Oryctolagus cuniculus: one gene and its partners. The protein of the gene in region 3 purifies or fractionates together with the protein of the main gene of each other region. This does not show direct contact. Links are inferred from orthologs where the notes say so. Each region holds a gene or a part of one and is shown on either strand. Other genes may lie near its edges.

Region 1 (4,122 bases), on a different chromosome or scaffold from region 3:
CACAAATTCATCCCCTCCTCTCAGCCATCTATCTGCCACCTGTCTATGCACTTATTCATCCAGCCACACGTCCATGAACCTGCTCATCCATCCACATACCTACCCGTTTGCCCCTCCATTCACCCACTTATCCATCCAGAGACACAAAGCAGAATCAGCACTCACCCCCTTGGTCTCCACCTGGGTGTGAGGGCAAGGGTGGGAGCCCCCCTCTTCTCTCTGGATAGATGGAAAGGGGAAAGTGCTATCACCATCCTGCCACAGGTTCTTGGGCAGGGCCCCTTTTATTGCTACTTGTGCTAGAGGACTCACCTTCATTGGCTGGTGCTGGTGGTGGGGGTAGCTGCCGTCTGTCTGTTGGGGAGCCAAAATCATGATGGGGCTTTTGTAGTTTGCCACCTTTACATTCATCTCTGTGCAACCTCCTTATTACCCCCAAGGCCTCCTCACCTCCACTTTTCCTCTGATTCCTTTTTTGTATCTTCTCTTGCACCAGGGCCCGGAAGGCCTGGGCCTCACCCTCATCTGCAAAGTTCAGGCCCGCTTGGCAGTCCTGCACATGCCTCAGGGTCAGCAGCCTTCCAGGCCCCTCACACCTTTAGCACCCCCTCCCCATGCTCCCTACTGCTGCGCAGGGGTTGGTTGATCACTTACATCTCCGGCAAAGGTGTGGAAGAAGGGGGTGGGAGTGGAGTAGACCAGCTGTGAGTACAGCTCCTGTTCCCAGAGCAGCCGGCCAGCCTGGAGAGGTGCAGGATAGGGGACACACTGGCACGGAGGCACCCTCTGGGTGGGTGACAAGCTGTTATCTGGGCAGGGAGCGTGGTGTCTGGATTTGGGGCTCTGGAGTCTAATTTTGGAGATATTCAGCTCAGTATCAGAGGGAGTGGGGGCTGGGTGTCAGAATCGGAGGGTTGAGATATCGTCTGAGTATCAGACTCTGCGGTGGGAACTGGGTCGTGGTTTGGAAAACTTATGACTGCAAGACCCGGGAAATTGAGGCTCACACATAGACTCACTTGATCCTGCACTGCCCCAACTCCATGGAAGGTAGGCTTTTAGGATTTGGGAGTTGGGGTTGAGATTTGAGGTTCAGACATATAGACTTGGCAGTTGGGGGAGGAGTCCAGACAAAGTATGTGCATTTTAGGGTTTGTAGAGCAGACTTAGAGCTGTGGTGTTTGATCAATAGTTGATGGCTTTGGCATCTTGAAGTGATGGTAGGTCCATCTTTATGGATTTAGGAGGATGAATTTGGGTGTAAGCCTGGAAAGTTTGGGTTGGAGGTTGATAAGACAGGTCTGTTTTTTGCTGCAGCACTACCTCCTTATTTGGGTGTTCAGAAGTGTTAATGTGGAAATTCTGGGGTCCTTGCTGTGGGCTTAAAAAGACTGATTTGGGGGGCTGCGCTGTGGCATAGTAGGTAAAGCCACCACCTGCAGTGCCGGCATTCCATATGGGCGCCGGTTCGAGTCCCAGCTGCTCCATTTCTGATCCAGCTCTCTGCTATGGCCTGGGAAAGCAGTAAAAGATGCCCAAGTCCTTGGGCCCCTGCACCCACATGGGAGACCCAGAGGAGGCTCCTGGCTTTGGATCAGTGCAGCTCCGGCCATTGCTGCCAATTGGGGAGTGAACCAGCAGGTGGAAGACCTCTCTCTCTCTCTCTCTCTCTCTCCTTCTCTGTGTAACTCTGACTTAAATTAATAAATAAATAAAGACTGATTTGGAGTTTGAGAAGTTCAAGACTCAATGAAATCTTCAGGTTCTGGGTCTGAGCAACAACAGGCTTATGACTTAGGAGCTGGGCAAACATCTGGGGCTCAGGAGTTTTGATGGAGGATTTCCTAAGATGCAACATGTCAAGCTGGGAACAGATTTGAGGTACAGGCATAAATCAAATGGTCAGTTTTTAGAATTTGTAGACCCAATTGGGCCTGGGAGGTGGTCTAATATTTGGGGGTTGAGATACCATGATATGGAGACTCTGGGGTCAGTCATTGTGAAGTCAAAAAGGCAAACCAGAGTTTGAGACCTGGGGGAGGGAGCCTTAGTTCTAGGGTTCAGGGATTTGCTCATCTGGTCCCAGGGCTCAGAGCTATGTATGGGCAAAGGTCTGGCTTTGCAGGTTGAGGTCGGGTTTGCCTATCCATTGAGGGGAGGGTCACCTGAAGGCCGTAAAGGCGGATGAAGTAGGACTTCTGGGGGTTATCCTTCACGAAGCACACAGCCCCACAATGCTCCTTGGTCCAGTGCTCGGCTCCAGGGGGCAGCGCCAGGTACAGCTGAACAACTGCAGTGGCCAGCGTCTAGGAGGGAGAGCAGGGATCAGTGGGTCTGGTCTGGTCGTGGGGGGAGCCAGACCTGGGCCTTCCTGTGCCCCTGTCATGGGCCTGAAGGAAGAGTTGCAGCCCGAAGGAAGGTGAGGAGGCCTCGGGATCTTCCTGGGATGGGTGAGCAGTGGAAAAGTGGCTTCTAGGAGAGGGGCTGATGGGGAGGCAGAGGAGGAGGGGGAGATGGAGAGGGAGAGGCAAAGGGTGGGGAGGATGAGGAGGCAGGAGGGAGAGGAAGAAGAGGAAGGGAGGGCCGGGAGATCCCCAGCTCACCCAGCATTTTCGTCCAAGCATCTCGAAGAGTCGCTGGTTCTCGTGGTCCTGAAGCAGGGTGGAGGGAATGTTCTGCTTAACCTCAGGTGCTCCTCGACCCCCGGGCCTGCCTCCCACAGGGCCCCCACTCATGGTGCCTTCTGTCCTTGTCCTCTCCGCCTAGGCTCGGGGTGCAGGGTAAGAAGAGGAACTTCCGCAGTGAGCAAGGGAACAGGAAGTACAAAAAAACCACAAGAGAAACAAGTCCTCCAGGGGGCCTCTCAGTAGGCCTGGCCTCGTCCTCCCCACGGGCCCTCCTCTGTTGGACTGCTTAGACCCATCTTTTTTAACTAGCTCAGGTCCTTCTCCTTCAGTCTTATCCTCTGGGGCCCACCTCCTCCAACAAACTCAGAGCTTCCTCTCTCTGGCTGGCAGCAGGAGCTGAGCCATCTGCAGTACTTCTGCAGGGCTGGCTGGGGCGAGGAGGAGCCATCAGGCTGGGAATCCTCCCTCTGCCCCAAAACACCATAGACTCCGGGGCCCAGGTCCAAGACTTTTCCCTTTAATTCCATAGCAAGCCCCTGGGAGCCCACTCCTATCTTGAGCCACAGATATTGCCAACAGGGTACACACCCCTAGGTCACTTCCCTTACCCTTGTCTCCTGTAGCAACCAAATTATTTTCTGCCCATCAGCCCTTTTTTGTTTTTATTTTGTTTATTTATTTGAAAGGTAGAGTGACAGAGAGAGAGAAAGAGAGAGAGAATCTTCCATATGCTGGTTCACTCTCTAAATGGCTATAGCAGTGAGGGTAGGGCCAGGCCAGGAGCCCAGAACCCCATCTAGGTCTCCCACGTGGGTACAGGGGCCCAAGCACTTGGGTCGTCTGCTGCTGCCTTCCTAGGTGGATTAGCAGGGAGCTGGATCGGAAGTGGAGCAGCCAGAATTTGTACTGGTGCTCCCACATGGGCTCCCAGTGTCACAGCTTATGGCTTAACTCACTGCACCCCAGCGCCGTCCCTCAGCTCTTTATATATATATATATTTTTTAATTTTTAAAAATCATTTATTTATTTATTTGAAAGACAGGGATAGAGAAGGAGAGAAAGAGAGATATCTTCAATCTTCTGGTTCACTCCCCAAAATGCCGCAACGGCCGAAGCTGGGCCGATCTGAAGCCAGAGGCCTGTAGCTTCTTCCGGGTTGCCCACATGAGTGCTGGGGCCCAAGCACTTGGGCCATCTTCCACTGCTTTCCCAGGAGCATTAGCAGGGAGCTGGATCGGAAGCGGAGCAGTCAGGACTTGAACTGGCGCCCATATGGGAGGCCAGCACCACAAGTGGCAGCTTTACCTGCTATGCCACAGCACCGGGCCCCTTCGCTCAGCTCTTTATTAAAATAAAGGAACTTTATGGAGCCAGGGCTGTGGCGCAGCGGGTTAAAGCCCTGGCCTGAAGCACCGGCATCCCATATGGCTGCTGGTTCAAGTCCCAGCTGCTCCACTTCTGATCCAGCTCTCTGCTATGGCCTGGGAAAGCAGT
Region 2 (4,232 bases), on a different chromosome or scaffold from region 3:
TAGGAATCTCTAACTCATGGGCCTTGACTTTATTCTTTATACACATATTCATTCATTTAAACACTTATTCAATGCCAGGTCCTTTGCTAGCCACTAAAACTAAACAGATCATGCCCTCATGAAATTCACAGGCTAGTGAAAAAAGATAAGCACAGACTTAACATAATTGTAATACAGTGCCAGACAGAACTAAAAACGTGGTGTGTACATGAGCCAGAGGATGGAAAGGCAACTTATTACAAGGACACCTCTGTAGGCAGGGAAGGTGAAGAAGGCAGACATTCTAGGCAGATGAAACAGCACAAGGGGAAGCACAGATGAGAAAAAAGTGGTAGGAGAGAGTTTACCAAAACTGAGGCTGCAAAGGTAGACAATGCTCAGATCTCCAGTTTCTAGTTCCAAGCTAAGGAGTCTGAAATTTATCTTTTGACAATGAATAGTCAGAGGTAGGAATTACTTAAGTGATTACGCTTTGTTTTACAAAATCCCTGTGGTTACACAAATGCCTTCCTTTGAGGTGCTGCTTCCTTCAAGTCTATACAGAGTCTCAAAACCTGTGCTCAATAAATGTATGTAGAATTTTACTTTTTCTTATGGATGAGGGGCCAGCCTGAAGAACTCAATTTGGCCAGAAGCAAACTTGTAAAACAGGTCCAGCAACCTCAATTATTGCACACTACTCCCTGTACAACTGAAGTCCCCCGGAGATTAGGGCAGGCTGCATTGTTTACTTGTCTACCTCACCCACTAGACTTTGAGCTCTTTGAAGACAAGGAAGGTCTTAACACTCTTGAAATCCCCATGGCTGTGGCAAGAGGCTTGAAGCAGATTCCAGTAATAATGGATAAGAGAATAACTGAATAAGCAATTTTACCAGGTAGACCCACGAGCTCACGTAAAGGTATGTATAAGGTTCAGGGAATGTTTCAGGGTCCATATTCCCAAAACTTTTTTGAGAATTAGAGCTGATGTGGGGTAGGTTTCATATGCACCTGATTCAGGATTTCCCAAACAGAAATTAAAATGCTACAAGTGCCATAGGAGAAATCTCAGTGGGCCTCTGAAAGCCCCAACGGGGAGAAGTCAGCTCTACCTGAGAGGGAGGGGACAGATGCCAGCAAAGACTTGGGGGGAGGCATATTCTTCACTGGACTCTTGAAAGTGAAGTAGGTATGCTGCCTACCTGCCCATTCCAGGGACACAAAAGCAAACTCCTAGAATTTTAAGGCTGGAAGTGACCTGCTCAAGGTCACACAGGAAGTAGGTAAAGCCACAAGGTAAGACAAATGAGGTATCTTTGTACTGTGGACTCCTGTTTTCTCCTGACAAGAGATGAGAAAGCTCAAATACACAGTTGACGAAATTAAACATTTTTCCCAAGAACAATTCTTTAAAGACAAGAGTGATGGATTTGAATGTTTATTGGTAACCACAATACCAACCTTTCCCTTCACCTTTCACAGTTAAAAAATACAGTGAAGTGTAAGACAATTATCCAAGGGGTTTAACAAGGATTTTACTGGCAACACCGACACACACCCAGTACTTCTTAAGTATTCTTCCAAAACACTGCCAGTAATGTTTACCGTTGAAATATTCAAAACAGTGAACGCTGTAATAATGTCTTTTGAAATGGAATAGCTAATACAAAACAACTATAATTCTCCCTTCCTCGATTGTTTTCACCTTCCTAAGTTAGGGAGTACTCCCGGGATGGGGGAAGGGCTGCATAAATCGCACTACTGTTTTCTTTTCAAGTTGAACCCTAACGGTGGCTCTCCAAGCCTGGACTGGGGAACTTTTCCACGCAGAATGAAGCGGGCGCCCTGTGGCCAGGCTTCCCCGTCGCGGGCCACGGTGAGCGCTGCGGGACGGCCAAGTTCGGGACGGAGCTGGTCCCGGACTCGGACCTGTCTGGTCTCCCAGCCTCGGCCCGGCCCCTCCCCCGCCGGGGCCTCCCCCCTCCCGGCCCCCCGATGTCCCGGCGTCCGAGACCGGCGGTCGCGCGGGTGCGTGCACAGGGGGCCTTTGTTGGCCCGACGGGAGCGGCCCGCCTCGCGGGGCGGCGCCCGCCTCACCTCACCTGGCGCCCCCGCCCGCCGGGACCCGGCGCCCAGAATGAATGCGCCCAGGGCCCCCACCCCGTCCAGCCCACCCCGACCGCGCGCCTCAGCCGGGACAGCCCGCAACGCCAGGGGCACCGACCGGAGGCCGGCTCTTACCTTCCGTGCTCGCTCTGCTCCGCTCGGCTCCTCCTCCTGCTCCTCCACCCCGGTGGCGGCGGCCGGGCCGGGGGTGAGCGCGCGAGTGTGCGCGAGCCGCCGCTTCACTTTCTCCCTCCCGCCGCCGCCGCCGCGCGCCTCCCCCCGGCCGCTGGCTCTGGGGATCCCCTCAGGACCGAGGGACCTGCGAGGGAGGGGGCGGTGAGGCGGGAGGAGGCGCTGCGGGGCCGGCTCGGTGGGCTGAGAGGGGCGGGGATGTGAGGGGCTCGGACGGCCTCGGAGGGAGGTGGGAAGTCGATGGGGAGGCAGAGTTCTTTGAGCGGGATTTTGGGGACTGCGGGGTTCGGAGAAAAGAAGAGTCCGAGGGCAAAGTGTCTCCGGAGTAGGACAGCAGAGCGAGGCGGGGAGGCGCGATGGGCGAGCTGAGGGGGAGGGCGTGTGTGGGCAGCCGTGAGGGGGCGTCCACTGTGTAGCCGGCACCTTCAGTTCCAGTGGCAGCCGCTGCCCGCCGCCGCCCCGCCGCAGGCGCCCTATTGTAAGCCGCCTCCCGGGCCCGACCGCCTCGCCCACCGGCCCCCGCCCCGCCCCTGTGAGGCCTCGGCGCCGGCGGAGCCCTGCCCGCCCCGCCTCCCGCAGGTGGGAGGGGGCGGGGAGGGCCGGCTGGCCCACGTGAGCGAGACCAGCCCAGGCGAGGGGGAGGGCGAGCGCCGGGATGACGTCATCGCCTCATGACGCCAGAGGCTGGGGAATCACCCGGTTGCCTGTGACGTCATTGCGCCCGCTCCTCTGCTCTCTGCGGGTGCTCTCAACCCGCCGCAGGTTTCTTTGCTATGGACTTTGTGACTGAAAACCTTTGGGCAATTTCTGGGATGGCTGCAATCGGAAAAAGGCGGCTAACCCTCAGGATTCAGGGACTGCTGCTTACAAAGCACCACCGCATTCGTTAGCTCATTTCCAAGGACTGAATTTGAAAACGGTTTCGTGTGATCTCAGAGCCACATTATCTATGATTCTAATTGTTTTCTTTGGGTAGGATGTGGGAGCCAAAGTGGGGAGACAAAGGATAACCATGGTGACCTGACACAGAAAAAAAAAAATGGCTTCCTTTCCCGTTTTTCTCTTTGTATGATGTCTACTTTCTCCAAACCTTGCCCTGGAGCAAAGATTATGTATTTACCAAAACCTCCCCCACAGCGTTCACCTGCATGCATTGTTGTACCTCAGATTCAACGTGTCCAGTACTGGACAGCATTGGTGGCTGAAAGTCTGGAACAAGATTGTCTTGCTTCAAATACGTATCATCCATATAAATGTTAGTAATAGGATCTTAACGTTTTTAAACCATACTTTCTCCATAATAAGTGGTACTTGTGTATCCTTAACTTAATCTCTCTAAGCCTACCTGAAGCCATAAAAATGATAGTGACAATTAAGCATAGTCAGCCCTTTGGAATGTTGACTATTACCAGTCATTTCCCTCCAACCTTGCGACTCTTGTGCCTTCCTGGTCTCAGTGAATCGACCACACAATCCAGCAGTCAGTGAAAACAGAAACCTGGACGAAAGTCCAGATTCTCTCTACCTGCCTACCAAACTGGACGTCAGGTCTTGTCAATTCTACTTTGCAGGTCCTTGCCCTTCTCTTCCTCCACCATCACATGAACTACTGGCGCAACCTTCAGTTGCTCCAGATCCAATCCACTGACCACCACAAATATGATGATGTCCTCCTCTATTTAAACACTCTGAAAGGTTTTTATTGCTTTCAGGATAAAGTCTAAAATCCTTAACCTGGGACTTCACAACCTGACTTTTTCAGCTCCATCACTCATCATATAGCTTTTCCTCCAGCCACACTAAAATACTATTTAACATTCTCGCAATACACACTTCTTCATGTCTCTGAGCCCTTCACTCCTTATGTGACTGGCCAACACCTATTGATTCTACAAAGCTGAGCTCAAATGTCATGTTCATTTATTTATTTGACTAATATTTCTAGAGTTTCCC
Region 3 (4,238 bases):
CACTGGTTTTACACTTCTCTTCCTACAGCACTACATTTTAAGCAAAATAATGCATTATTAAACTTCTCAAAAGTTTAAGAACATGATCAAGCATTCTGAACATTCTGTCTTTGTGTGATATCTGTCCTCTTCCTGACACAATCTCAGTACCCATAACTATTCTTTATGCAACTTGGCTTGCAAATCCTTGATATACTGGATGTCCGTGTTTGGAAGCATTTGAGTGTCTCAATATCATCATTAAAGGGTATCTATCCAAAGTGAATAACTACATCATAGTTTATCTGGCCCCAGCACATACAAAAGGGAGCTTACTGCATCCCTTCACTTGAGCATCCCACAAACTTGAACCAATGCCACCATGGACTGTGCGAGACTTCCCCACCTACATTACCCAGCAGCTCTTCCTCAGTCTTTCACTCATATCAACTGTTGCCAAGATAAGTTCTCAGCATTTTTTTCAACTTCTTTAAAAACTTCATGCAACATTTTATATTACTGCCAGTTCCTATACATCTTATTTATATCTTGATTTTAAATTTTCAAATATTCTGTGAATCTAATGTATGTTAAATTTTCCAGTATTAGTCTTCCCTACTTTTTAGGCATGTCATTTCCCCTTCATCTGAATGACTGAATAATAGAAAGCAGAATGAGCACCAAGAAAGTATTACTACTTCTTCTAATTGCTTATTGAACAATACTTCTGCTCTTATGTGCTTCCTCAAAACCAATTTCTCCCTAACAGATTCCCCCAACTCTTAGGACATACACATGACCATCTATTTTCACCAGGACCATAAAACTTTTAGAGTTAGAAGGGACTTTCCAGGATCGTCTAGTCTTACTCAACTCTCAGAAAATCAGGAAGCTTTAATTATATACCCTAGGTCATAACGCTGGTTAATAGTATATCAGAAAACAGAACTAAGGAATTCTAAAACCAAATATATGGTATTCTTTCCATCATGGGTTATTTGAATTTTTGTATTTTCACCTGTTTATTTCATCCACACATATTATTTTTTTATTATTTTATCTAAAACATTGAGCAATTTTGTTTTCAAGGGTATTCTGGCTATTACACAAGATGCACCATATCCTTTTTTTCTCTATTTTTTTAAGTCCATTTGAGGAGTAGATTGATAAATAGCCTAGCCTTGTCTCTCCTGATGAGCTACCTGGCAAGAGATGTATAAACTTCAATGTGTTGCAAGAACTCAAGAAAGGAATGATATGGCTACAAATCTCAAATCCTGAACCTCAGTATAAAAATGTACTTAAGGTTAACTACCAATTCCATAAGATCAGTAGAGAAAATGTTAATTTTATCATTGCATTGTTAAGATGAAATATATTGAATCTCTGTATTGGTGATACAACATTCTTTTCACCCTCTTTTTTTATTACTCTGATCTTCGCTTATAGTAGGCACTCAATGAAAAATGGCTCATCAGCAAATGAATAAATAAACCAATAAATCTCTAAAAGGAAAGATCATTCAAAAAATGGAAATGCAAAGATCTGACTTAATAACACTTCAAAAAGTAAACTGAAGTTAAGAGACATATTCCAGAGGGACTCACTTAGACACCACAGCTAACTAACTAAATAAATCTTCACATTGTAGTCACTTTTTGTTTGTTTTTTAGAGAAAGTGGTTACTCTTTTTTTGTTTTGTGCTTTTCTCTGTAATCTCTCACCAGGTAACTCTTGCTTCTCAGGCTCTTCGTACATAAAAATCTTGCACAATAATTCCTCTGCTCATTTTTCTAGAAACACCAATACTCAAGATCAAATCAAACTCATTATCATAAGATCATAAAAAGTCATCAATAGACATATGGATTACACTCTTTTAATATTAAATTCTTCAGTATTTTACTAGCACTTTCCATTAAATATCATTCTTTATACTGTTACTGTAAGTGAAAAGTAGTAAAGCAATATCATGTTAACTCAGAAGTCAAATATGGAGTTTGCTCACCTAATTATTTTTAATTGTTTACCATTGATTTCACGTCAATGTTTGTGCTAAGCTGAAAATTATTGAACTAGAACTGTATGAAACCCAAGCATTTTTATCCTTTCCTTATATGTTATTTAAATATCATACTCAAATATTTAAAAATTATCTTACGCAGTTAAACTAATGTTATTTGATACATGATCAATAATTTAGCTTGTATGAAACAACACAAAAGTACCAGCTTATAAAAACCGAACAAGTTCTCTCTACGGTTTCCCTTTAAATTCACAAAAAGGAAAAATCTAATCCAAAAACTGTAACAAGAAAACTACAGATTTAATAAACAGATTAACTTACTGAAAAAATCTTTAAAGACGTTTAACCATTCCATTTTGAATACAAATTCTGTGTTCTCTTTTGTAAGCTTGTTAACACAGCTCAGGATAATTCTCAGGGAGCTTCCTGGTCTGTTCTGCAACACTGAAACTTCCCACACCCAATCCATGTGACCTGGCCCACACCCAAGCAACAGAAAGCTTTTCTGAAGCTTCTCTTTCCAAAACTTTTTTCCCCATAAACTATAACAGAATCTGTAAAATAAGTAAATCATAATGGTCAAAAAAGTAACCTATTCTTCACACTTACTTTAGAAGGAGTTTTAAAGCCTATACATTTTCTAACACTTAAAAATATACTATTGCATTCATTTTTCCTTTTCCTAAACTTTCAAACAATGTCTCCACCAGCACAATCACTGTGAAACAAACCCATTAAATAAGACATTTGAGTTACCAAAAAGAGACACAGAAATGCTAAAGAAAAGAAGGTTATCCAATGCATAAGTTGGATTTACATCATTATACTATGTAACTATATACTACCAATATTTCCAAGCACCCAGAAATAAAGGTAGTAATAACCATCATATTGTAATAAAGTTAACAGCGATTTCTTAAATCTTACAGAATTATAAACCTTGCTAAAACTGTCTCAATAATATCAGAAAATATGGAAAATTTCCTAGTAATATTAATAAAAATTAATTCTAATTAACTTTCAGATTTATATACAATAACTAAAACTGGCATATTTGTCCTGTTTGCTCTAAGATAATAGTTTTTCACTATCTTTTGTAACTACTATCACATCTCTCTAATTCCAGACACCAGGATCCTATTAAAAACAAACAGGGGCAGTGGTTTGGAATAGCAGTTATTTGCGACACCAGCATCCCTTATCAGAGTACCTGGGTTTGAGTCTCAGCTCTGCTTCTGTATACTCTAGGAGGCAGCAAGTAATGGGTAAAGGACCCTGCCACCCACATGGGAAACCCAGAACGAGTTCCTGGCTCCCAGCTTCAGCAGGGTTCTGTTCACAATGAGGAGTGAAGTGTAAGCAGTGAACCAGCTAATTGGTGATCTCTTTCTCTTGTGTCTTTTTCTCTGCCTTGCAAATAAATTTTTAAAAACAAACTAAAAAGGAACAAAAACTCTATATAGATATGTCTAGTATTCTCTGTGCATTCATCACTATGAGTTATACTTTCTTGAAAGAAGTTACCTTGCTCTCCTTCAATACTTTTCATCAACATGCTTTCAATAAATGTTCAGTATTTACAAAACCAGAAGTATTCTTGGTTCTAACACTGGTCTCTTCAACTATGTAAAGAAAATCACATTCTGATTTGCCTTCCATTTAAAAACTAATGGTCCTGGCTGGTGCCGCGGCTCAACAGGCTAATCATCCACCTGCAACGCCAGCACTCCGGGTTCTAGTCTCGGTCGGGGCGCCAGATTCTGTCCTGGTTGCCCCTCTTCCAGGCCAGCTCTCTGCTGTGGCCTGGGAGTGTAGTGGAGGATGGCCCAAGTACTTGGGCCCTGCACCCCATGGGAGACCAGGAGAAGCACCTGGCTTCTGCCTTGGGATGAGCCCGGTGCGCCGGCCGCAGCGGCCATTGTTGGGTGAACCCACAGAAAAGGAAGACCTTTCTCTTTCTCTCTCTCTCACTGTCCACTCTGCCTGTCAAAAAAAAAAAAAAAAAAAAAAAAGGAAGAAAACAAAAAAAAAAACTAATGGTCCTGTTTGCAAAAAAATTAGAATCTAAAAAAACATTATCCCAACAGTTAAACGGCACAGCAACAACTACCAATTTATCTTTAAAACAATGTAAATGCTTTAGCTCAGAAACTAATATTCTAATACTTTATTTACTACTGGGAAGTACACTATATTTTAGTTTTTGATGTTTTCTGATAGTTAAAAACAGTAC

What was found.
Region 1: the proteins of NCK1 (region 3) and WAS purify together in Homo sapiens (affinity purification with western blotting; 4 studies listed by BioGRID and IntAct, with this or other methods). This does not show direct contact. The link is inferred for Oryctolagus cuniculus from reciprocal best matches to the Homo sapiens genes NCK1 and WAS.
Region 2: the proteins of NCK1 (region 3) and PAK1 purify together in Homo sapiens (affinity purification with western blotting; 8 studies listed by BioGRID and IntAct, with this or other methods). This does not show direct contact. The link is inferred for Oryctolagus cuniculus from reciprocal best matches to the Homo sapiens genes NCK1 and PAK1.

The regions. Positions count from the first base shown.
Region 1 is NC_091453.1:33,872,119-33,876,240, reverse strand, and holds the start of WAS (actin nucleation-promoting factor WAS), read right to left. Parts: upstream 2,806-4,122; 5' UTR 2,736-2,805; coding exon 2,604-2,735; intron 2,307-2,603; coding exon 2,166-2,306; intron 742-2,165; coding exon 655-741; intron 554-654; coding exon 451-553; intron 355-450; coding exon 313-354; intron 220-312; coding exon 166-219; intron 1-165. UniProt on the Homo sapiens protein: Effector protein for Rho-type GTPases that regulates actin filament reorganization via its interaction with the Arp2/3 complex. Important for efficient actin polymerization. Possible regulator of lymphocyte and platelet function.
Region 2 is NC_091432.1:68,610,729-68,614,960, forward strand, and holds the start of PAK1 (serine/threonine-protein kinase PAK 1), read right to left. Parts: upstream 2,806-4,232; 5' UTR 2,223-2,805; intron 1-2,222. UniProt on the Homo sapiens protein: Protein kinase involved in intracellular signaling pathways downstream of integrins and receptor-type kinases that plays an important role in cytoskeleton dynamics, in cell adhesion, migration, proliferation, apoptosis, mitosis, and in vesicle-mediated transport processes.
Region 3 is NC_091435.1:144,689,055-144,693,292, forward strand, and holds the start of NCK1 (SH2/SH3 adapter protein NCK1), read right to left. Parts: upstream 2,810-4,238; 5' UTR 2,580-2,809; coding exon 2,327-2,579; intron 1-2,326. UniProt on the Homo sapiens protein: Adapter protein which associates with tyrosine-phosphorylated growth factor receptors, such as KDR and PDGFRB, or their cellular substrates. Maintains low levels of EIF2S1 phosphorylation by promoting its dephosphorylation by PP1.